Linked DNA regions of Diceros bicornis minor. The protein of the gene in region 2 interacts with the protein of the main gene of each other region in a pairwise test. Links are inferred from orthologs where the notes say so. Each region holds a gene or a part of one and is shown on either strand. Other genes may lie near its edges.

Evidence for each region. The genes of interacting proteins can lie anywhere in the genome.
Region 1: the proteins of KRT40 (region 2) and ZNF202 interact in binary tests that used the Homo sapiens proteins (3 or more experiments, as listed by UniProt). The two-hybrid records come from large-scale screens. The link is inferred for Diceros bicornis minor from reciprocal best matches to the Homo sapiens genes KRT40 and ZNF202.
Region 3: the proteins of KRT40 (region 2) and AP1M1 interact in binary tests that used the Homo sapiens proteins (3 or more experiments, as listed by UniProt). The two-hybrid records come from large-scale screens. The link is inferred for Diceros bicornis minor from reciprocal best matches to the Homo sapiens genes KRT40 and AP1M1.

The regions. Positions count from the first base shown.
Region 1 is NC_080746.1:13,749,265-13,756,486, reverse strand, and holds the start of ZNF202 (zinc finger protein 202), read right to left. Parts: upstream 3,002-7,222; 5' UTR 2,893-3,001; intron 2,713-2,892; exon of another isoform or gene 1,792-2,712; intron 1-1,791. UniProt on the Homo sapiens protein: Transcriptional repressor that binds to elements found predominantly in genes that participate in lipid metabolism.
Region 2 is NC_080757.1:40,394,491-40,401,978, forward strand, and holds the start of KRT40 (keratin, type I cytoskeletal 40), read right to left. Parts: upstream 3,078-7,488; coding exon 2,631-3,077; intron 1,935-2,630; coding exon 1,852-1,934; intron 1,581-1,851; coding exon 1,424-1,580; intron 236-1,423; coding exon 74-235; intron 1-73. UniProt on the Homo sapiens protein: May play a role in late hair differentiation.
Region 3 is NC_080759.1:4,410,685-4,417,797, reverse strand, and holds the start of AP1M1 (AP-1 complex subunit mu-1), read right to left. Parts: upstream 3,002-7,113; 5' UTR 2,925-3,001; coding exon 2,883-2,924; intron 1-2,882. Other genes in the region: protein FAM32A, read right to left, coding at 6,303-6,371, 6,675-6,728. UniProt on the Homo sapiens protein: Subunit of clathrin-associated adaptor protein complex 1 that plays a role in protein sorting in the trans-Golgi network (TGN) and endosomes.

The DNA.
Region 1 (7,222 bases), on a different chromosome or scaffold from region 2:
GAAAAATAACAGCATAAGATATCTTATAAATACAGCCTGACCTGAAGTATGAATATGGATAATTCAGAGGAGTCAATTCGAAAGGCATTACTATGTTTTTAGTTTTGTAATTAACACTCTCTGTCAGGATACTCCCTGCTGGGTATCTAGGTGACTTCCTTCTGGCTTTGCCTAAGGCTTCCTCGAATATGATGAGAAGATAAAGGATGGGACCCATGCCTGCTGGATCAGAGGAATCTGAAGAGTCTCAGACTAACTCATGGTCCAAAGTAGAACTAATCCCAGAATGCCATTCTGTGGGCACTGTTTAGTGTCTTTATCTCCCACTGTGAGCCTTGCCTTGAGGGTAAGAACCTCATTATTCATTTTTGTATTCCCAGTGCCTAACACTTTGTCAAACACTTGGTAGAAAAGGTACTCAATAAATGTGTGTTCAATTTAATTAAGCTGTCTATTTCTCTTCCCCCAATCTGGATACAGAAGGAGGGAAATTCAGAAAATCAGTGGGTGCCAGGATGTCTGGGTAATAAACCACTCACAGGGACATTATTGCAATTTGGCATTAGCATTTATTCCAATCTCCTGGGGGGATTCAGGTGGCACAGCCATATACTGCCTTACTATGTGGCACAGGATTAGCGGAGAAAAATTTCTTCAAGGGGGTAAGAGAGCAGCGGATAGAGTTCATTCACTCCACAAATATCTACTGCACATCAATTGTGTGTCCCACACAATTCAAGGTGCTGGGCAGAGAAAGATGAGAAAAGCGCAGGCTCTGACCTTAAAGAATTTAACATGTAGTTAAGAAACAGCAGGGACTTGAGCATACTAGAGATTCATAGCCAAAACTGAGAATATGGTTATAAGCTATATGATCAAAATGGAAGGTTCTACCAAGAGAATTAAGAAAATAAAGGAAAAACTCATCAATATTCCTCTCTAATTTAGCATTTGGAGTTTGTTTTAAATACACTTTCTTAATTTTACAAACGAAAGAACTCAGACCTAAGTGGTTAAATTACCCACACCGGATCACTGTACTGGTTTCAGCACAGAGGTACTCATACACAGGTCTTTTGATCTCTAAACCACCGCAATGTTTATGTGAAGAAGTTTGGCCAAAGGCAGTGGTCTCAATGTGAGAAACCCAGACCAGCAGCACCAGCACCTGAGAACTTGTTAGAAATGCAAATTCTCAAGCCCCGGCCCAGACCTATTATCAGAAACTCGGGGGGTGGCCCGGTAATCTGTGTTTAATAAGGCCTTCAAGTGCTTAAGATGCATGATAAATTTGAGAAGCAGTACCTAAGGCAAAGGAAGTAAATCTGAGGTTCAAGCAGAAAGGATCCAACTTTTCCAGCGTTGGTCAAATTTAAAGGAGAGTTTGCAAAAGTAGAAAGAGTCTAGGGCTGTTATACGTTTTATGCCTGTGCCAAATTAACTGGGGAAAAAAAATGTTGTAAACCTGTAACTTACCTCATCTGTATAATTTGTAACGCCCAAGAGTCCCTCACATTGTAGTAAACCTTGCTGTGCCCTTGAACTGTCTAGTGTAATATAGTACACAGAAAGAGTTCAAAAGAGGTACAGCTGGAGAAGAAAGGGGGCAAGATTATGTATCCCAGGTGTTTGGTCCTAGGAGGAAAAATTCCCTTCCTCCCTCCAACCCTGCCCACCCTCTTATGTCAGACAGTAATAGCATAAAGTTACCTAAGACAAATGGCCACAAACCCTAACTGCTTCACTGTCACACACTTCCCACCAACAAGCCTCCCATGGCTACCCCACAACCTTTCTGAAGTGGCTTTCTGGATCAAGGCCCATGGGGCAGCTTGGAAGAGAAGCTGGGAGGAGGGATGAGGGACTCCACTAGCATTCCTTGTGGCTTCTGAGTGAGGCTGCCCTGGGTGTCACCTGCAGCGTGGACAGAGAAAAAGCAACAGTTCTAAGCCTAGCCTCTAAGCGAGAGCCTGGAGGTGGTACTGCTCCCCAGAACCAAGGTGGCTGAAAAAGAGGTAGGCCTAAGAGCCTACTTTTGAGGAGGTCAGTACAGGTACCAAGGCAGACAGGGTTATCAAATCCCAGAGACAGAATATCCAATGCCCAGAAAGATAAGAATTGGGCTGACACCTTTCCAAGATAACATTGCATGTCCATGGCATACAAACTAACAAACTTTTAGCCAAACCAGACAAGAAGCAGGGGCCCGTTTATTCTTGCTGAGGGTAACGCTGGTGTTGAGAAGAAGTGCCAAGACTGGGGAGGGGTGGGGGGGGAGGAAGTTGCAAGTGGAGACAGCAGCCACTGGCTTGAGGGGAAGCTCGGGGTCGGTCACAGTGGCAGCTGAAGAGCCACAGGCCAGATGGTCTCCAAGGCCTAGTATGATCACGGGTGATAAGATCACGGGTGAGCGTATCTGCGTGAATCTTGGAGGGGTGGTTAGTGGTGGAACGATGGGGCTCGCCTGGGCAGCGAGCCTGCGGGGGGATTCTTGAGCAATCTGAGAGGCGGGGTGAGAAAGCTGCGGGAAATAAAGGGGCTTAGACTACTCCTGCCTCGGTTCCGGGGGGCAGTTGGCGCGGAAGCATTGGGAGGTACAGACTAACTGCGTTTCTGCAGGCCTCAGGAGGGGGCGGAGGGCGGTGGCTGGAAAGAAAGAACCCTGGCGCGCCATCGCGTCTCCGGAGGTCCTGCTCAGGCCATCAGGAGACACGAGGACCACAACGCCGTGGCCCCCTCACTACACTGCCGCCGCCTCTTCCCCACGACAGTACAATCTCCCCAGGCTCCGGGGAGGCGGGGTCTTCGATCCCTCCCCCTCTTCCCAGCCCTGCCCTGCCCGGCTCAGCCCGATCCGATCCGACCCGGCCCGGCCCGGCCCCCAGCACTCACGGCTCCGACAGCTCCGGCAGCTCCTCCCCTGCCCCGGCTTGTCCCTCACCCACTCCCGGCCGAGGCAGCGCCGCCAGATCCGAGCCGCGCGGGGCCTGGCGGGTCGGAACACGTGGGGCCTTTGCGCCCGGAACCGGAAGCTGCCCTTCGCCCCGCCTCCTTGTCGGGCTGGAGCCTTTCTAGGCTTTGGGAGGTTTGGTCCTCTCTATGTGCCCAGCGAGGGTTGAGGCTCCGTGCCCCCCGGAGGATTCAGTGTGAAAAGCCAGGGGCCCAGGCCGCTTCCGGTCGCACGCCCGCTCCTGTCTGCAGCGAGCAGCCCTTCCTTTTACACACATACCTTCTGCAAGGGTTCTCTTTTCGTTTTTCTGTTCTTGATCTTTTGTTTGTTTTGATTTTGGTGCCTATACCTCTACGTATTTTTCTTGATTTTTGTTCCTTTGCGTTGTCTGCGAAGCAAGGTAGAAGAGAGAGCAGTTTAGTGTTTGAATACAGGCTCGTGCATTCGCCATCAGTTGCAGGGCCTCGGACAGATCTTTCCACCTCTCTGAACCTCAGTGCCCGTCTAAAATGGGGGTAATAATACCGTTGCTCTGAAGATGAGATGATACATTGCCTGTGAACACAGTAAACTCAGTAAGAGAATAGTTAATAGTATCATTCTTTATTTCCCTTTAAGTATTTCTGTGTGTTTCTTTACTTTGAGACTCTCTTCCCTGATCTCATTTACTCACTTTTGTCTGGGTCAATGATATTTCTGCCTGTACCTGCTATTTCCCTTTTTACTCTCTCTATCCCTTCTACCCCTTAAGTCACCACTCTCCACCTGCCACATGAGGGCCTTCTTTTCCCCAACTGTGCTTACACATTTCATTTTCATGGGACACGTTGCTGGGATCTGTTTGTGTTTGAACCCAAGGTAGCCATCATTTTTGGTGGAGGGAGGGCAATATATAGTTCATGAAAGGCTACTGTGTGCCTACTGTTTTCTCTATATATCTCATTTAATATTTTAAAATATCAAGTTAATAAATAATACATAAATATGTTCTTCTAAACATTTGAAACATTATAGATAAAGCTAATGACCTTTTACTAATCCTGGCTGCTTCATCTCTCTGACGAGTTTATTCTATTGAGTCTGGTGTGTTTATCTTCCAGAACTTTTTCTATACTTTTACATAAAATACACATGTATTCATGGAAAATACATAGTATTGTTTTATGTGTACATGCATGTATGTGTGTGTTTGTGTTGAATTCCTCAATTTGCTATTTTCTCCTAGCAATGGGCCTTGGAGACCTGTTTATAGTAGTGCATACAGATCTCTCATATTCCTTTTACTTTCTGCATAATGTTCCATAGTCTGAATAGCCATTTGCCTATTGATAATATATGTTTTTTACAATTGTTGCTGTCACACACAATGATATAATAAACATTCTCTTTGTGCATACATGCAAATGTTACTCTGGGACAGATACTGAGAAAAGATATTGCCAGGTCATGGGTTGTATACATTTAATAGATAATACCAAATTATCTTCCCAAATCAATGCACCATTTATACTCTTAACAGCAGTGTATGAGAATATTTTTCCCCATACCCATGCCATTGCTTCGTGTTGCCAAACTTGTAAATTTTGGCCAGTCTGATTGATAAAAAGTGATGTCTCGTTGTTGTACTTTGCCTTTCTGTGATTAATAGTGAAACTGAATGTCCTTTTGTACATTTATTGGTAATTTGTAGGTTTCCTATAAATTTTCCCATTTTTCTGTTGGATTTTTTTTGTCTTTTTCTTATTGATTGTTAGATGTTTTTTATGTATTCTAGATACTAATCATTTGTCATATGTGTCGCAAGTATTTTCTTCACCTTTATAGCTTATATTCTAACTATGTTTATAGTCTTAAAGTTTCAAATTTGATACACTTTTTCTCAGTGGCTTTGAATTTCATGTCTTGTTTAAGAACATTTTCTGCACACCAGAGTCATCAGGGCTTCCTCCTATATTTTCTTCTGCTACTTTTTTGTTCTCCTTTTTATGGTTAGATTTTGAATTTATTTTATTTTATTTTGTAAATGGTGTAAGTTGGGAATTCTAATCTAATATTGTCTATGGTAATTAATTTCCACTTTGAAAACATGGAGTATAAGATATTTACATAATAGAACTGCAGAGGATATAATCCATGTGTGACGTGACTTGTGTTCTGTCAGTTTAGTTATTTGGTCCTTCATCAGTGATTTATTTATTGAGCAACTACTGTTGCAGGATACTGTGGTGGGTGTATGGATTACAGTGGAGAACAAGGAAGATGAAATATCTGTCCTCATGGGGCTAACTTTCATATGGTATCTGTTTATGACATGAAGGAGCTTGGGAGGAAAGAATCAGTTTTAAATAACTTGAACAATAAGTTAATTATGATTGTGGAAGTTTCTATAAAGGAGAAGTACAGAGTGCTATGAGAGCTTATAATTGGACATCCTAATCCTGGTGGTGGTGCTGGTAGAGAGGGGTTTAGGGAAAGCTTTCTTCAGTAGTAACCTTTGAGATGAGTGCTGAAGGATGACTAGGCAGGCTGAGATTGGAGGTGGGTCTGGGAAGTGGGGTGAATAAGAATGAATATTTGAAGTAATGGGAAATAGTGTGTATGCAAGGGCCCTGAGATGGGAAGAAGCTTGGGGTATTGCAGAAACCGAGAGAAGACTAGTGTGTCTGGGGCCAGAGAGCAATAGAGAAATGTGTGATGTGGGCCTGGTATTGTGGACAGGGATAAGATCTGATAGACCAAGGGTCTTATAGACCAAATTAAGCATTATCTGTTAAAGTTAATGGGAAGCCGTAGAAGGATTTTCATTAAGTGACATGATTAGGTATACATTTTTATAAGCTCCTCTGGCCATGAAGAGAATGAAAGGGTCCAAAAGTGGATGTGGAGAGGTGATTTAGGACGCTATTATTGTAGGTCAAGCACTTGGACTAAAGCCATAGTAGTGGATATGGGGGCATTGGGTTATTATTTCTTTAACAATATTTGATAAAGAGCAAAGAACTAATTATTAGGAAAATGCTTGCTTCTGCACTTAAGATAGAGAGTATTTTGCAAAAATCAAAGAAATGGCAGGGGTAATTAGTGGAGTGAGCTCAACTGGAAGTGTGTGTAGCAGTTCTACTCTCCTAGTTGTTCAGTCCAAGCCTAGCTGAATACCAAGTATAGAAAGTGGGTGGTTCTGGAAGAGCTATATGTAAATGGCATTTTTATAATTGGAGTCATTTAAACTTGTAAGGAGAATTTGTAATTCAAAGTGGTGGTGAGCCACTTGGTCAGGCACCAGGTACTTTGGTAAATATATAATTATCTCCAAATCTTTCTGTGTTGTACTTCAGACTTTCTTGTATTGAATTTTAAAAATTTTATCTCTAAGTTAGTTGGGCATTTGTCAATATCATGGAGTTATAAGATCTTGACAAAAACAGAGATGACTTTAGAGGTACACCTTAAGGAAGACAGCGGGCAATCTTTAGTTTATGGCACATTGAGAAAAGTGGTCTGTAGCCACTTTTGGCTTGGGAAAGGCATGCACTCTTTCCTCTTCTTGGGGTTTATAGTGCATAGTAAGATCATTAGAACTGAAAAAATAAAACTGAATTTATTTCTTGTTAGGTAAGGGAGAGCTGCGTCACTCAAATATGACTTCAGTGAGTCTTTCTAAGTTAAAAGGGAAGGGGGTCAGCCCCGTGGCTTAGTGGTTAAGTGCGCTCGCTCCGCTACTGGCGGCCGGTTCGGTTGGGGCGTGCACCCACGCACCGCTTCTCCGGCCATGCTGAGGCCGCATCCCACATACAGCAACTAGAAGGATGTGCAACTATGACATACAACTATCTACTGGGGCTTTGGGGAAGGAAAAAAAAAAGGAGGAGGATTGGCAATAGATGTTAGCTCAGAGCCGGTCTTCCTCAGCAAAAAGAGGAGGATTAGCACGGATGTTAGCTCAGGGCTGATCTCCCTCACCAAAAAAAAAAAAGGGAAGGGCTAGATCTAAGATAAGGAGAGGAAGTTTTGCCCAAATATGGCAGGATTGTGAAGGCCATCATGTGATTGGTTAAAGAGAGAAATTGTAAAGTCTCCTTTTGGGATGGTCATTGCACTGATTTACATCAGTAATTATGGGCGCAGTTCTTAATAAAGTCCAAGATCATATAGCAGGAGCTTTCATATACATAAGCTTGAGATTTGGAAAATTTTTTTTCAAGATGGCATTTAAGATTCTGAGAAGTTGAGTAGTGAAGGAACCTGCTTAACCTTATCTAGCTCTGCATCTCC
Region 2 (7,488 bases):
CACGGGCATGATTAGAGAACCCAAATAAGGCAGAAATCTGGAAGCCTGCCTCTTTATTGCCCCAGGTGCTGACCTGGACAGCGAACCATTCTTCTGCCTCTCTGCGGTTGTTGGCCAGCACCATCTCGTACTGATGGCGCATCTCATCCAGGACCCTGTTGAGGTCGATGGTGGGGGCAGTGTCTAGCTCCACACTGAGGCAGTCACCAAGCTGTCCACGAAGCAAGCTGACTTCCTGAAAGTGGAAATGGAGTAAAGAATGTCACAGAATGGGCAGGGAGGGGGAATTCACTTTGACATCTCAATAGCCTCCCACTTCTGTTTTTTGGAGCAGGGAGTTTAGATTTAGATTCCTTAGGTTGAATCTTTTTTCACCACCAGTTTCTTCATCTGTGAAGTGGGTATAATAATTTTACCTTTTCCAGAGGGTTATGAGATATATGAGAGTTAATATATGTATAAAGCACTTACAAAAGTCCTTGGCACGTAATGAGGTCTCAATAAATGTTAGCTCTTATCATCAACAAATGTTCAAAGAGAAAATGTTCTTGGTTATATCATTTAGCTTCTCATTTTTTAGCTTCATCAATATGAGATAATCATACACTTCATATTTTATGATTTTACATAGATTATATATGCAGAATATTTAAAAATATTTGTCCAAATATTGCCTGAGTCTTTATCCCCCCCCCTTTTCAAATTGAGGTCACATTGGTTTATAACATTATATAAATTTCATGTGTACATCATTATATTTCAGCTTCTGTATAGACTGCATTATGTTCATCACCAAAAGTCTAGTTGCCATCTGTCACCATACACGTGCCCCTTTACCCCTTTTGCCCTCCCCTGGCCCCCTTCTCCTCTGGTAACCTCCAATCTGTTCTCCATATCTATGTATTTGTTTGTTTGTTTATCTTCCACATACGGAAGACTTGAAAGCAACCTAAGTGCCCATTAATGGATGAAAGGATAAAGAAGATGTGGTATATATCTACGGTGGAGTACTACTCAGCCACAAAAAAGATGAAATCTTGCCATTTGTGGCAACATGGATGGACCTTAAGGGTATTTATCCCCTTTTTGAAATGACCTTCATACTCTGTGTTTATCAGCCTGATTTTCACACTCTATGGATTAGAGTTACAAGTGGCATAAAGCCTCCAGAGAAAGCTAACTCCACAAAAGTAATGGCAGGTGATGAGTTTGGCCCCTTCATCTGGCACTGGCCAGGGGTCATTTCACATCTACATTCAGAGACACATGGGAGTGATCAGGCTGCATAGTAGTAGTGCCTCGAGTAATTTTGTTTCAGTTTAAGCCACATCTACCCAAGTGCAATTTTATATATACATAATGAAATCTATCAGTTTAACTTTGTCACTCTGAGAGCCCTTCAGCGATTTTCCACTTTCCTCACCTCTTCGTGGTTTTTCTTAAGGCAAAGAAGATCGTCCTTCAGAGACTCCACATGGGCCTCCAGATCACCTTTGCATAAGTTCAGCTCACCCAGGATCCCACGCAGGCCACTGATGTCCGTCTCCACCAGCTGGCAAAGAGACAGTTCAGACTCATACCTTTCACAGCAAAAGAGATACAGCCTGTGCTTACTTTGCTGACACTGTGCCGAGTGCTAGGGCATGCTGATGAATGACACGTGAACTCAGGGAAGCCATGTGCTGTGATTTCCTTTATATCCCAAATAATGGTAAATTCGAGCTTTGCGAGAATTCTTAGCATAAAAATATATTATATGGAGAATATTTGTGCTGTGTTTGTGTCTGTGTGTGTGCGTGTGAGAAAGATAGAGGCAACCATAAATTATTTTCAAATTCAAATTAAACTTACCTTGACTTAAAGTCATCGGCGGCCAGTTTGCAGTTGTCAAGCTGTACAGCAAGTCTAGAATTCTCTGCCTTCGTGCACAAGATCTGGAAAGTAAGTTATTATGTAATAAATGTTTTTTTGAAAGAAGCATAAGTATCTATTCATGTAACATCTATGCCATTATTTATCTCTTAAAAGTCTTTATAAGAAAGTATAAAATAGCTTTCAGCCTGCTTTTCTTATTAACCATGTCACCTCATAAGGAAAAAAACAGTGCCAATTTATAAACAAAATAGAGAAATAAAAAGGTTTAGTTTTTTAATGACCCAAGACATTTTGCAATGTTCCTTGGCAGTTGAACTCAAAATTTTCTCTGTAAGTAGTTTGTATTATGACTATGTCCCCAGCCATGATAATAACAATTCATTAATAAGAAAAGAAAATGATTACTAGGTGAAATTATATGATTAAAAAATGACATTTCAATATCTTATGCTAAAAATAATGTAGATGTACAGCCTTACATACAGAAGTAATTTTAGATTTAATAGTTTTTCATCATTCTATAGATGATAGGGTAAAGTTTAGAGGTAAGTGAGTTTATTGTGGTCAATCAGTAATTAGAGGCAGCACTGGGGCTAGTGCTGGTGTTTCCTGACTTCTAGTTAAGTACTCTGGACCCTCTACATCACATCGCCTCTTGGAAGTCCCCTTTCCCTGGCTTCCTCCATAGAACAGTAAAAAGATAAAGCAAATCAGAGATTGGGAAGGTGGAGCATTAGGGCAGTAAGGCACCAGACCTTTTGTTGGAGATCTTCAATGGTGTCAAAGTAACACTGGTAATCGGGGCACACCAATGGGATATCCTCTTCACATTGCTCTCGGATCCTGCCTTCCAGCTCTGCATTCATCTCCTCGAGGCCACGCACCTTCTCCAGGTAGTTGGCCAGTCTGTCATTCAGGAACTGCATCATTTCCTTCTCATTGCTGTTGAACACCCCATCCTCACACCAAGCACAGTTCCCCACCAAGCACGGAACATTACAACTCCCAGCAAAGTGGCGTGGCACGAAGCAGCCGGCTGGCAAGTGAGACCTGGATAGGAAACTAGGGGTCTGGCATCTGGATGCAGCACAGGCGCTGGGGAGACAAGTGGTTTCCACGGGACAGGTAGAAGCAAACGCACAATCAGAAGCCCTGGCACAGGATTCAGAAGAGCTGCCCGTGGGGGAGCTGTCAGAAGTCATCCTGTTAGAAGTGAAGAGCAAAGACTAGTTCCAAAACTCCAGTTGCCTGGCTCCAAAATCTCCTTCCCTGCTGAGACTTTTATATAGCCCCCAAATGGGTATTTACAGAATGCACCGGATGTTTTCTTTATCGCTGTTGGTGCCAGTTTTCATGTGAACATTCATTAGCGTTGTTTATTTGCTGACAGAGTTTTATGCCTCATAAAAGAAGCATAACTTCAGGTTACTAAATAAGGTCACTATTTCCATGTGCCAGTGGGATAAAATGCTTGCTTCAGAAAATCTTCATAGGAAGCATTGTCCTTTTGTCAGAATAAGGAAAGAAAGAAAATGTGGCCAATGAGTAATTATAGATACAACTGATTATCAATATGGAAAATAATATTCCCATAGATTTTGATCCTGTTCATTGAAAATTATTTATTGTCTCCTTTTAAAGTTAATATTACAACTCATTAAATGCCATTTGTTTGTGCCATCACCATAAAAATGTTTCGTGTAATTAGCAATCTTTGCAATGCTTTTTGTGGTCTTGCTGTGCTCATGTGGTGGAGGAGTGAGGTGGAACTGGGTTTAAGGTGTGTGTGTGTGTGTGCGTGTGTGTGTGTTTGAACCAGATCTGCCTGTGTGCAAATTGAAAAGTCACTTTACACAACTGATGGGCATAATTTGTGCCCCCCCAGGCCAGAATATAAAATGGTTATCAAGACCTGGAGTTATGATCTTTGATTTCCTGACACTTGCCTTCTCCACATTTCCTGTGCCTCATGGGAAACTGAACTTTCATTGATTACACTTCAGAGTAGGGGCAAGGATGCTACAGAAGGCTTTTCTTCCGAGATATGGAACCTGCTTTCTCTTATTTATTTTTGAAGGCCTCAATTTCATGAAAATTTAAAATACTGGAACTGGGGAATAAAACTCTATGATGAGGGTTCCAGATCAGCAATTCCGTTGGAGGAAATCCCTGGTGCAGTACCGAACGGCTAGGGATTTGAGATGTAGCTATTTTAGATTTCCCCTTGAATTTCATCTCCATTATGAAGCATAATCTGTTTCACTTTGCTTGCCTTCAGTTGTGGTTGTTTGATTCTGTAATATGCCCTTACCTCAGAACATCCACTTACTGCTGCCAGAATCATTTCTGTAAAATACAAAGCTACTTTTTGTCACTCTCCACTTATAAAGTCCAAACTTCCTAGATTGACAAATATGACCTTCCTTAATCTGGTCCAATTTACCTTTCTAGCTGATTTCCTGATACTGTCTCATCCTTCAGGCTCTGTTGGTGCTGTTGCCTTGGCCTAATGCTCTTCTACCATCCTTTCCTGGGTGAACCCACGTGTCAAGACTCGGCTGCCGTGGCATTCAACTGCCTCACATTGAGGTGGCGGCTCTTTCCAGAGCATTTTGCACACACCTCCACTTATGTCACGTTGCTTTAAAATTTTTATGTTTGTGCCTTTTTTTTTTTTTTTGACAGTGTCTCTTTTAAGACGGGTGTATCTTATTTGTCTTCTTACCCTCAGCACTTGGGACATAATATAATAGACCCTTAATAAATGTTTGCTAAAAATATAACCACTTGGCTTAACAGAGGTTTCTGTCTTAACACATGATTCCTTATGAAAGAAATTTAACACTGAAAGACAAGGAGAATTGGCGGAGGACGAAGAACACTGTCTTAGTGGACATAGTATTTATATTCTAGTCCCAATGCTGTTACTTACTAGCTGTATTATCTTCATCTAGTCGTGTAGCCCCTTGGGGCCTTAGTTAGTCCTCACTGTAAAGTGGGAAGAATAATACCTGTCACTTCTACAGTATAGTGTTGTCAAGAAATAAACAATATGAGTATCTCTCACTTAATAGATAATAAAATATAATGCCAGTGTAAGATCTCCAATTTATGAGTCTTGGTCCCCAATGCCTCCATAGTTGTCAAATACATATTCTTTTTGTTCCTCCATTTTTTTTATTGAGATAAAATTTACATATAGTGAAATGCAGTTTTGACAAATGCATATACCTATGTAACCATCACCCCAGTCAAGATATCTAACATTTCCATGACACCAGAATGTTCCCTTGTGCTCATTTTCACTCAATCCCCACCTCCCAAAGGTAAACACTGTGCTGGTTCCTATTACTATAGATGGCTATTCTCTATTTGTGAATTTCATGAGTAAAACTACACAGCGTGCATACTTTTGTATCTGGTTTCTTTCACTCAGCATCATGATTTTTAATTCACCCATGTTGTCGCTTGCTTCAGCAGTTTGTTCTTTTTTTTTTTAATTGCTGAGGAGTATTTCATTTGTCGACACAAATAACCAGTAACCATTCTATACATAGGAGAGATAAGGTGAATTTTACTTGAGCCAGGAAGGCAGTCTTGACAAAGGGAGAAAGTGTTCCAGAGAAGCGCGGTTTGCAGCGTGATAATATCCCATTTCAGAACAAAGAACATACATCAAGCCTGACAAGGATACGTTTTTTTCCTCAAAGTCACAAGGAGGTATTTTGCTGCAGTTTCGCATGTGTGCGGCAGGTCAACTTGACCCTGATTTCTGTCAAGAAAAATTTACCTTCAAAAGAGCACTGGTATTGACGTCAGAGGAAGGGAGGTATCCGTCCCTATCCTCAGACAGTGCATCCTTTGCTTTGGGGTAATGTTTAATGTTTAAAGCAGATGTACAATGCATGTTTGACAGGTCATAAGTCAGGCTGCTCTAGGGAAAACAAGTTTAGGCTGAATCAGGTTTAAGCCAGAATGGCTTCCCTACACATCTCAACATGTGACAATTTCTTATTATTTTGATTATTTTCATCACATTGTATGAATATACTACAATTTGTTTGTCCATTCTTCTTTGGATGAACATTTGGGTTATTTTTTGTTTGAGGCTACTATGAATAAAACTTCTATAGACATTCTTGTACAAATATTTTTGTGGATATATATTTTCATTTCTCTTGGGTAAATATCTAGAGTAGAATGGTTGAGTCATGGAATTGGTACATGTTTCTTTTTATAAGAAACTACCAGACTTTTTTCCAAAATGATTATACTCTTTTACACTCTTACCAACAATGTATGAAAGATTTAGTTCTATACCTTCACTAACATTTGATGTTGTCAGACATTTTAATTATAGACATTTTAGTCAGTGTAAAGTGTCATCTCATAGTTTAATTTACATTTCTCTAATGACTAACGAAGTTGAGCAACTTTTTATGCATTTATTGGCCATTTGGGTATCTTCTTTTGTGAAGCAGCTATTCCAGTCTTTTGTGTATTTGTCATGGGCTGTTTGTCCAAGAGAAAGTAGTTGCCTGACAATATATTTGCTTGACAAAATATTCTCTACTGTCCCTCTGCACTTAACATTGCTGGTGGTTTTTTTTTTTTTTTCGTGAGGAAGATCAGCCCTGAGCTAACATCCATGCCAATCCTCCTCTTTTTTTTCCCTTTTTCTCCCCAAAGCCCCAGCAGATAGTTGTATGTCATAGTTGCACATCCTTCTTAGTTGCTGTATGTGGGACACCACCTCAGCATGGCCGGACAAGCGGTGTGTCAGTGCGCGCCCAGGATCTGAACCCCGGCCACCAGTAGCGGAGCACACGCACTTAACCGCTAAGCCACGGGGCCGGCCCCCTCCTGGTGTTCTTTAATGCTCCCTGTGGGTCTGAGATTTCATCTCGTATAATTTACTCTTTTAAACCAAAAGGACTTCCTTTAGTGTTTCTCACAGTGTAGGCTTTCAGACAATGCTTTTTATCAGCTTTATTTATCTAAAAATGTTTTCATTTTTCCTTCAATTTTGAATGTTGTTTTTGCAAACTATAGAATTCTGAATTAATATTTTTTTTTCCTTCAGGACTTTAAAAATGAGGTTTCATTGTCCTCTGACCTCCATTTTATCTGAATAGAAGTCTGGCAACCTTTTTCTCTTTGGTACCCTCTATTTAATGTGTATTTTTCCTTCCTATTTCTTTTAAGATAGTCTATTGATCTTTGTTATTTAGCAGTTTGACTCTATCTGTGTGATGTGTGTGTGTGTGTTTAGGTTGTGTTTATCCTGCTTCGGGTTTGTTGAGATTGTTGAATTGTAGGCTAATAAAATAAATCACTAAATTTGGAAAAATTTCAGCCCTTTTTTCCCTCAATTTTTCTGCCCCACTTTCTATCTTATCATTCTGGAACTCCAATTTCACATGTGTTGGGCCACTTGATACTGTCCCACGGGCTGCTCAGGTTCTGTTTTTTTATTTTTTTTTCCATCTTTTTCTTTCAATGTTTTACTTTTGATAATTTTGATCTATCTTAATTATTTTGAGCTATCTTAATTCATCGATTTCAATAATTGGCAGTTTCCAATCTGCTATTAAGGCCATCTATTAAATTCTT
Region 3 (7,113 bases), on a different chromosome or scaffold from region 2:
TTCCTGCCTCAGGGCCTTTGCACTTGCAGTTCCCTCTGCTCAGAATGCCCTGGGCTGGCTCTTCTCATTTCTCAAGCCTCAGCTCAGACAGCACCTCCTCCCTGCTTGCCCTGGCTGAGAGATCATATCCCATCCCTCTCGACCCCCAACTCCACTTTACCTTCACTGCCCACATCACCACTGCATCATATGTTTATCTGTGTCCTCATTTACTGTCTGTCACTTCTACCAGAGTCTACTACTCCCAGAGAACAGTGACCACTTCCGTCTGGTTCGCAGCTGTGTGCCAGCACTGACAACAGAGCCCAGCCCACAGCAGGTGCTCAGTCAACGTCTGGGGAGTGAGCATGCAGGTGAGGAGACAAAGGAGGCAGGAATAACGCCCAGGGCTCCAACGTGGGCAGCTGCATGGATGGCAGTGTCACTCGCCGAGATGGAGAGAGAGCAGATGGAGGGAGAGTCTGCAGTGGCTGTGGGACTTCCAAGGTGTCTCCGAGGCCAGCAGATCTCCAGATAAGTCCCCTGGACTGCGGTATAAATTTGAGAGTCACCGGCACACTGACGTGAATCAAAGCCTGCCCCGGGAGAGGGACAGTATGCCTGAGGGGCCAGCATCCAAAGGGAGGGCAGCAGCGGAGGGGCCAGCAGACAGTGAGGGAAACAGGGGGCCGAAGGAAGCCTGCTGAGAAGTGTGCTAGTGGCCTCAGCAGCTGCAGAGAAACAAGAAAGACAGGGCGGAGGAGTGTCCACGGAGGGCTTTCTGTCAGCTGAACGTGGCCACGCTGGTTTCCTTGGTAATCAGAGGCTCTGGCTGGCAGAGAGCTGTGTGGTAGTGAATTTCCTGATGTGCCATTACCTTACTTCTGATTAAACGCAGTCTGCGCATGAGGCAAACTTCCAAAACATGAGGTCCGTGGGGAGTGGAATAATAAATGGCATGACGGTTGCTGAGGCCGGGAAGGGAGCCCCCGGCTGCCTCGGGAGCCTCCCGAAAGGCAGGTTGATCCTGCTTCTCCCGGGCTACAATCCCCCTGCGGTGGCTCCTCCTTCCTGGGATCAAAGTGGTCCCCTCTGGCCCTTTCTCCTGTCCGGACACCTTTAACACCCATGGCCCTCCTGGTGCCATCCACCAGGCTCCAGCCTTACGTAGGACTTCCTGCTTGCCAGCCCCAGTGGGCTGCCCCTCACCCCTCGGGCCCACTGAGATGCTTCCTTGTCCACCTGTCTGCCACTTGGTCACCTTTCCAGCTCCCCCATCTCCCTCCTCCAGGAAGCCTTCCGTAACCACTTCTCCTTCTGCCAGCCAAAACTGAGGTTAGGCAACTGCATTCCCTGGGGCCTTGTCCATGCCCTGTGGCTAACCGGATCTGACCGTCTGGATCCATGCGGCTGCTTCCACACGTCTCCCCTGCCAGAACGTGAGGCCCACAGGGTCTAACGCGGACTGTGGGCCCTGGGTGCTGCTGAGCCTCTCTCATGCGCGGCTCAGCGAGTTCACACAATAATGCCACGGAAGCCTCCTCTGACTAATGAGGAAAGTGAGGCTCAGAGAGGAGCAGGCACTTGCCTGAGGTCACACAGCTGAGCAGCAAAGCTGGGTTTTGAGCTCAGCCCTGACTCCACAGTCACCGCGAGATGGTCAGCATGCGGCTCAGTGCACGTAGGAGCTCGTGAAATCTTTGCTGAAGGAACGAGTGATTGGAGACAGGCAGCCTTTGGGACCTCTAAGGACACGGTGGCTGGGGTGGAAGCAAGAACACGTGCTACAAGGACTCAGGGAACACTGCACCCACCCCGCCCCTGGCCTGCCCTGTGTCTTTCCTTGCCTCTAAGAAGGTGGGGGGAAGGAAGCCCAGCACTGGGCCTCACTGGATGTTGACTTTGGGTGCCATCCAAGGCAGGCAACCCACTCAGGGGACTCCAGGGAAGTGCTGGGGGTGGGGAGTGGGGCAGGAAGGGGCAGCCACTTCTCCTCACACCCCACTGCTTCTGAGCTAACTCCTCCCTGCCCCACCTGGGCCTGACACCCACGTCTCCTCCCAGATTGATGTGGGACGCGTTGAACATTGTTGAACCTGTACTTGTTGCTCCCAGGTGCAAGAGGCCAGATCCTCACTTGCTTCCAGCCAGGATGGACTTGGGGAAGGGCGGCAGCCCACTTCTGAGAGGCGTCAAGATCCCTCCTCTCAGACTTAGAGACCTGCCTGGCATTTAGTAGGTCCTCCTCAGACACCAGCTGAATGAACAAATGATTCTGGGTTCGACGCCTAGACCTGTCACTTCTCTGTGACCGGTGTGACCTTGGGCACGCTGCGTCACCTCTCTGTGCCTCACTTTCTCCCTCTGTAAAGTGTCGCTGCCACCACCTACCGCACCTAATCCTTGTCACTCAATGTCACAACGAAGGAACGCTAAGACATACCTACAGGGACCGGCACAGAGAACTCGCCAGAGAAGCAGAAGCTACGTCCCTGAGAGGGCGGGACTGGCCCGAGGGCACACTGTCCTCGTCACGCCTCGCGACGTCGGGCCAAGGGTCGCGCAGCTTCGACGCCGGCTGCAGCCCGCCCTCGCCGCGGCCTCGGTCTTCCGGGGGCCCCCACCGAGACTGGAGCCCCCAGCCCACGGGGGTCAGGGGTGTCGTGCAGCCGGTTACCTAGCAACAGCGGCAGCCCACCGCGTTACCCAGCAACAGGGTGCGGACAGACGACCCTGCCTGGTTACCTAGCAACAGGGTGCGGCCCTCAGGCGAGGCCGACTGGCTTCCTTGCCCAAGACCAGGCTGGGTCCCATTGGCCGTCCCTAAGCAACAGGGTGGGTCCCCACGGGGCGCGGCCCCCGCCGGTTGCCTGGCAACGGGGAGGGTGGGGAGCCCTCCGTACCTTGCCCTTCAGGTCCAGCACGTAAACGGCGCTGGCGGACATGGCGGTGCGGGAAGCCTCGGCAGCGGCCGAGGGCGGCGGCGACGGCGGCAACCGCCAGGCGTTGAGCAAGGCCGGGCGCGAGCCGCCACTGTTCGCCTCCACTTCCGGTCCGGGGAGCCGCGCGCGGACCGTTAGGTCCGGTCGGGGAGGAGGGGCCAGGAGTGCGCGGGCGCAGGGCGGAGTATGCGCAGGCGCAGTGCGCTCTACGTGCTCTTATTTCCCGCTTCCGCCTCAAGCATCCCGGAAGTAAGGTCCAGAGGGACGAGGTCGGGCGGGGCCGAGTGAAGCAGGGCATCCTCCAGCTTCCCGCCTGGGCCCCGAAGCCATGGCAGCTGGAAACCCCGCTGTGGGCCAAATTAGGTGAGAGATCCCGGTGGTGGAACCCACCTAGGGCCCAGCCCTATGGTACTCATAGTCTGGTGGGGGAGTCTAGGAAACAATCATATACAGTCGCCATTGCGAAATGCTGTATGGGGAGAAGTAAGGAGGTAGTTACTTGGAAAGAGGTCAGACTCTCTGAATGGCAGTCAAGGCTTATCAACAGTCACTATCTGTCACCTGTCAGTGTCAACATTCGTCAGTGAACAGGCGTGCCTGTTTATTGCTTGGAATGATCTCCTAAAAACCTCCCCCCACTGAACCTAGGCGAAAAGCACGTGTTTCATTTCTGTAGTTAGTGCCCACGGTGGGTAATGCAAATCGTGACCTCTCATTAATCAATTGAATATCTCATTTGGTTTTATGAACACTCAGGCTGTGGAGAAATGTCTGCATTCTGTCCCAATGAACCATCACACTGCTTTGGGGATCCCAACCGTGCAGTATCAGAACCATTTACTCAGGCTGCCTGCCTTTCACTCATCTCTGTTTGGGGGCTCTGAAAGATGGCATTTGCAATAGATCCTCCACTTAGGATAAATGTAAGTGCAGGAAAATCCAGAGAAGAAAACTAATATCTGAAGACTACCAAGTAAATCCTGGGCTGGAAGCATTCTTGCACAAAGCAGCCAATGGAGGCCTTTTGACAATTATTGGGTAAGAAACCCTATTGTACCTAGCCTCATACTTTGCCCAGTTTGTTGCAATGTTTTAGAAAAACATGTCTTTTTTAAATTACAAAACTGTACATCTCACTGAAGAAAAAGTGAGTAAATGCCAAAAATTATAAGGCAAAAAGAAAAGCCACCCAGGAAAGGTGACTCTTCTCATTACAGAGCATCTCCTTTCAGCCTTGCTCTGTGCCTCTGTCAAGGAGGCTGGGGGGAAGACATTGTACAAGTCTTTTGAGGAAACAAAGATTCCCAAGTGCCAAGAGTACCACCACGGTAAACACTCTTCACACTTAAATTACTTGTAACTTCCTTTTCTCCATAAGTGGGGGAATTCGAGTCACATCTGAATTTCATCCTTGGCATTTATGTGTAATGTATAAGCCAGATTTGACCTCTGCAACATCTCAGAAAAGACCATACCTGTTGTGGTAGACCAGGGTTTCTCAAACTTTGCTGCATATTAAGGTCACCTGGAGAGCTCTGAAAACTCGCAATGACCGAACCCCACCCCAGGCAGCATCAGTGGTTCCTAATGCTCTCAGGAGAGTCTAACATACAGCATAAATTGAGAACCACTGTGGTAGATTGTAACAGTGATGGCCCCCAATAAACCACACCTCCTGGTCTTCATGCCCTTGTGTAGTTCCGAGACTCTGGGTTTGACAACGTGACTTGTGTTGGCCAATGGAACAGGCTATGTGGAGAGCAGTCTTGGGGGATGAGATGCCATCTTGGACTTTCTGGCCCCAAGGAAGCCAATGCAGCTACACATGTGTACTAAGCTACACCTCAGGGAGCAGACCCACCCAGATGAGCACTGTCAACCCCCAGAATCGGGAGAGAGAACTCCTGTTGTAAGCCACTCTGTTCTGGAGTGGTGTGTTAGGCAGAATTAGGATGTCTATCTTCCACTGTACTGACACAGGCTTTTCCAGCACCACATCACGCTCACAGACCTGCACCGCTGGCTCAGGGATAGAAAAGCCCTGACCCCAATGCTGGGGCACGCTGGGGGAATCTGCCCAAAGGAGCCACTGCTAATGAGAGGATGTCACCTCTCTCAAGTGGGCCACGAACCACAAGTAGAAACACATCATCCAAATTTTTCCAAATTGAGGGTGAAGAGTCGTTTCGCAGTATGCACATTCTTCATATGGGATAAACCCTTAAAAGGCAGCGTGTCTAGTGATAATCTAACAGCCTATAAGTAAGACACTCAGACTTACATTTCATAACTGGTTTTTGCTTTATTCTGCAGTTCACTTGTGACAGCCCCAGACCCAACACCCGATGTTTCTATTCTGACTGGTCCTCTTGCACTGTGTGCGTCAGTTCTCACAGTAGCATAAGCAGTTCCATCCTCAGCCGGTGGGTGCACGCAGGCCCTCCAAGATCCTCGCTCTCCAGCACCAGAACCTGGGTCCTCCCGTTTGACTGCACCCCTACCCGTCTGTCTGTGCGGGGCTCTGCCCTGCTCCTGTCACCCCTGAGGTGTCCTTAGGCCAGGAATGCCCAATAGGTTCCATGTTATGTGCCAACTCTGAATAAATACGGGGGGTCAGCTTGGAGCCCAGGGTTGAGGGTAGTGAGGCAGGCTGTGTCTGGGTTCCAATACAAAGAATGCTGTGCTTGATTAGTAATATCCATGGCAACACTCACTAGACATGTCTGAAATAGGGTTACTGGGGAAGAGGAATGCTGGCCACCAGCTCAGCTCAGAAAGGGACGAGGCATGTGTTCTATCCTTAGACAGTTGTTCTGCTTCCCAGGCTGCATTGTCTCACTGGCCAGGTGGCTGAGGAGGCAGTCTGCAGGCCACGAAGCTGCCAGTGGCTTCCCCAGGCCCTGGATGGAACAGCATAAGCCCCAAGCTAGAGGGAGCTTGGAAGGGCAGGCAATGCAGGGCCCCACAAGGGGCTGCATTGCAGGCCTGCTGGCATTAACTCCTTATCCTATGGAGTCAGTTTCATCCAGGCAAAGAGAGCTGGCCAGCTGTCAGAGAGAGTGACATGCAACTCAGGGGCAAAAACGCTTTTCCACAGCACTTACATAGAAATAACCTTTATCTCTGGGTAAACTCTTAAAAATTTCCAGTCCAAACTGAAAACGTTTATCTTCTACTGAGAAACCAAAATAGGGTAAAAGGGCAATCTTACTTTCATTGAGGTCTAGAATGAGGGCACACTGCTTTGAAAAGCACTGTCTCAACAGAGGACGCAAAGTGTGTGTAAAAGAATGTTTCTAAAAAATACCAAAGGCACCAAACATAACCCCAACTTCGCCTTCTGCTTCCCCTTGATGCCACTCCACCTCCCGGGCCAGGAGGCTACTTGGTCCAGCTGACTTTGGGAATGTCATAGTGCTCCGTCAGCGTATCCAGGTGTCTGTTGAAGTCCTGGGAAAGCAAAGGAGAAAGCCCACGTCAGCACAGCCCCACGCAGGGCATCAGGGATGTGTGGTGCTGCCCACCGCACTTCTCCACGTCCTGTCTCTCCTCAGAGCACCCCTCCTCTCAAGGCCACTCTGCCAGGCCTTAGAAACTCCTGAACCCTGGGCTCTCCCTTCAGTGACCCCCGGGTAGCCGTCACTTCTGTTGGGTACACTCTCCTCCCCGCCAACACTCCAGTGGCTCTTCTGCCAGGCTCCTAGCCTCTGGGGCCCTAGATGGCTCCATCTCCCCACTGGGCACATGACTTACCTCCACTCTCTGCTTGTGGGTTTTGGATGCTTTCTTCAGGATCCTTTCCATTTGCTGGAGAGAAGAGAAACAGGTGAGTTCACATGCCTGACGCAGCCCAGGCCAACACGGGATGGAAGATGGGAGCCCCAGTCAGCCTGGCTCTCACACCTAGAAAGGCCAGAGGTCTCAGGGTGTGCACCTTGCCCTTGCCTCAGCTCCACTCAGACTGCTCTGACAGGGAGGCCTGGCCGCAACATATCCCACCAGGAGCCCGGGTCAGCTGCGCTCCGGTCTGAGGGGCAGGAAATGAACCAGCACCAACTGAGCACATACCCACAAGCAGACTGATGGGAGCTCTACATGTGCTTCCTGCTTCCTTGGGCAATTATACGCATTCCCAGTTTGCAGAAAAAGAAAGGCATGGGGGGTTTAAGAAAGGCTGAGGAAGGAGGAAGGT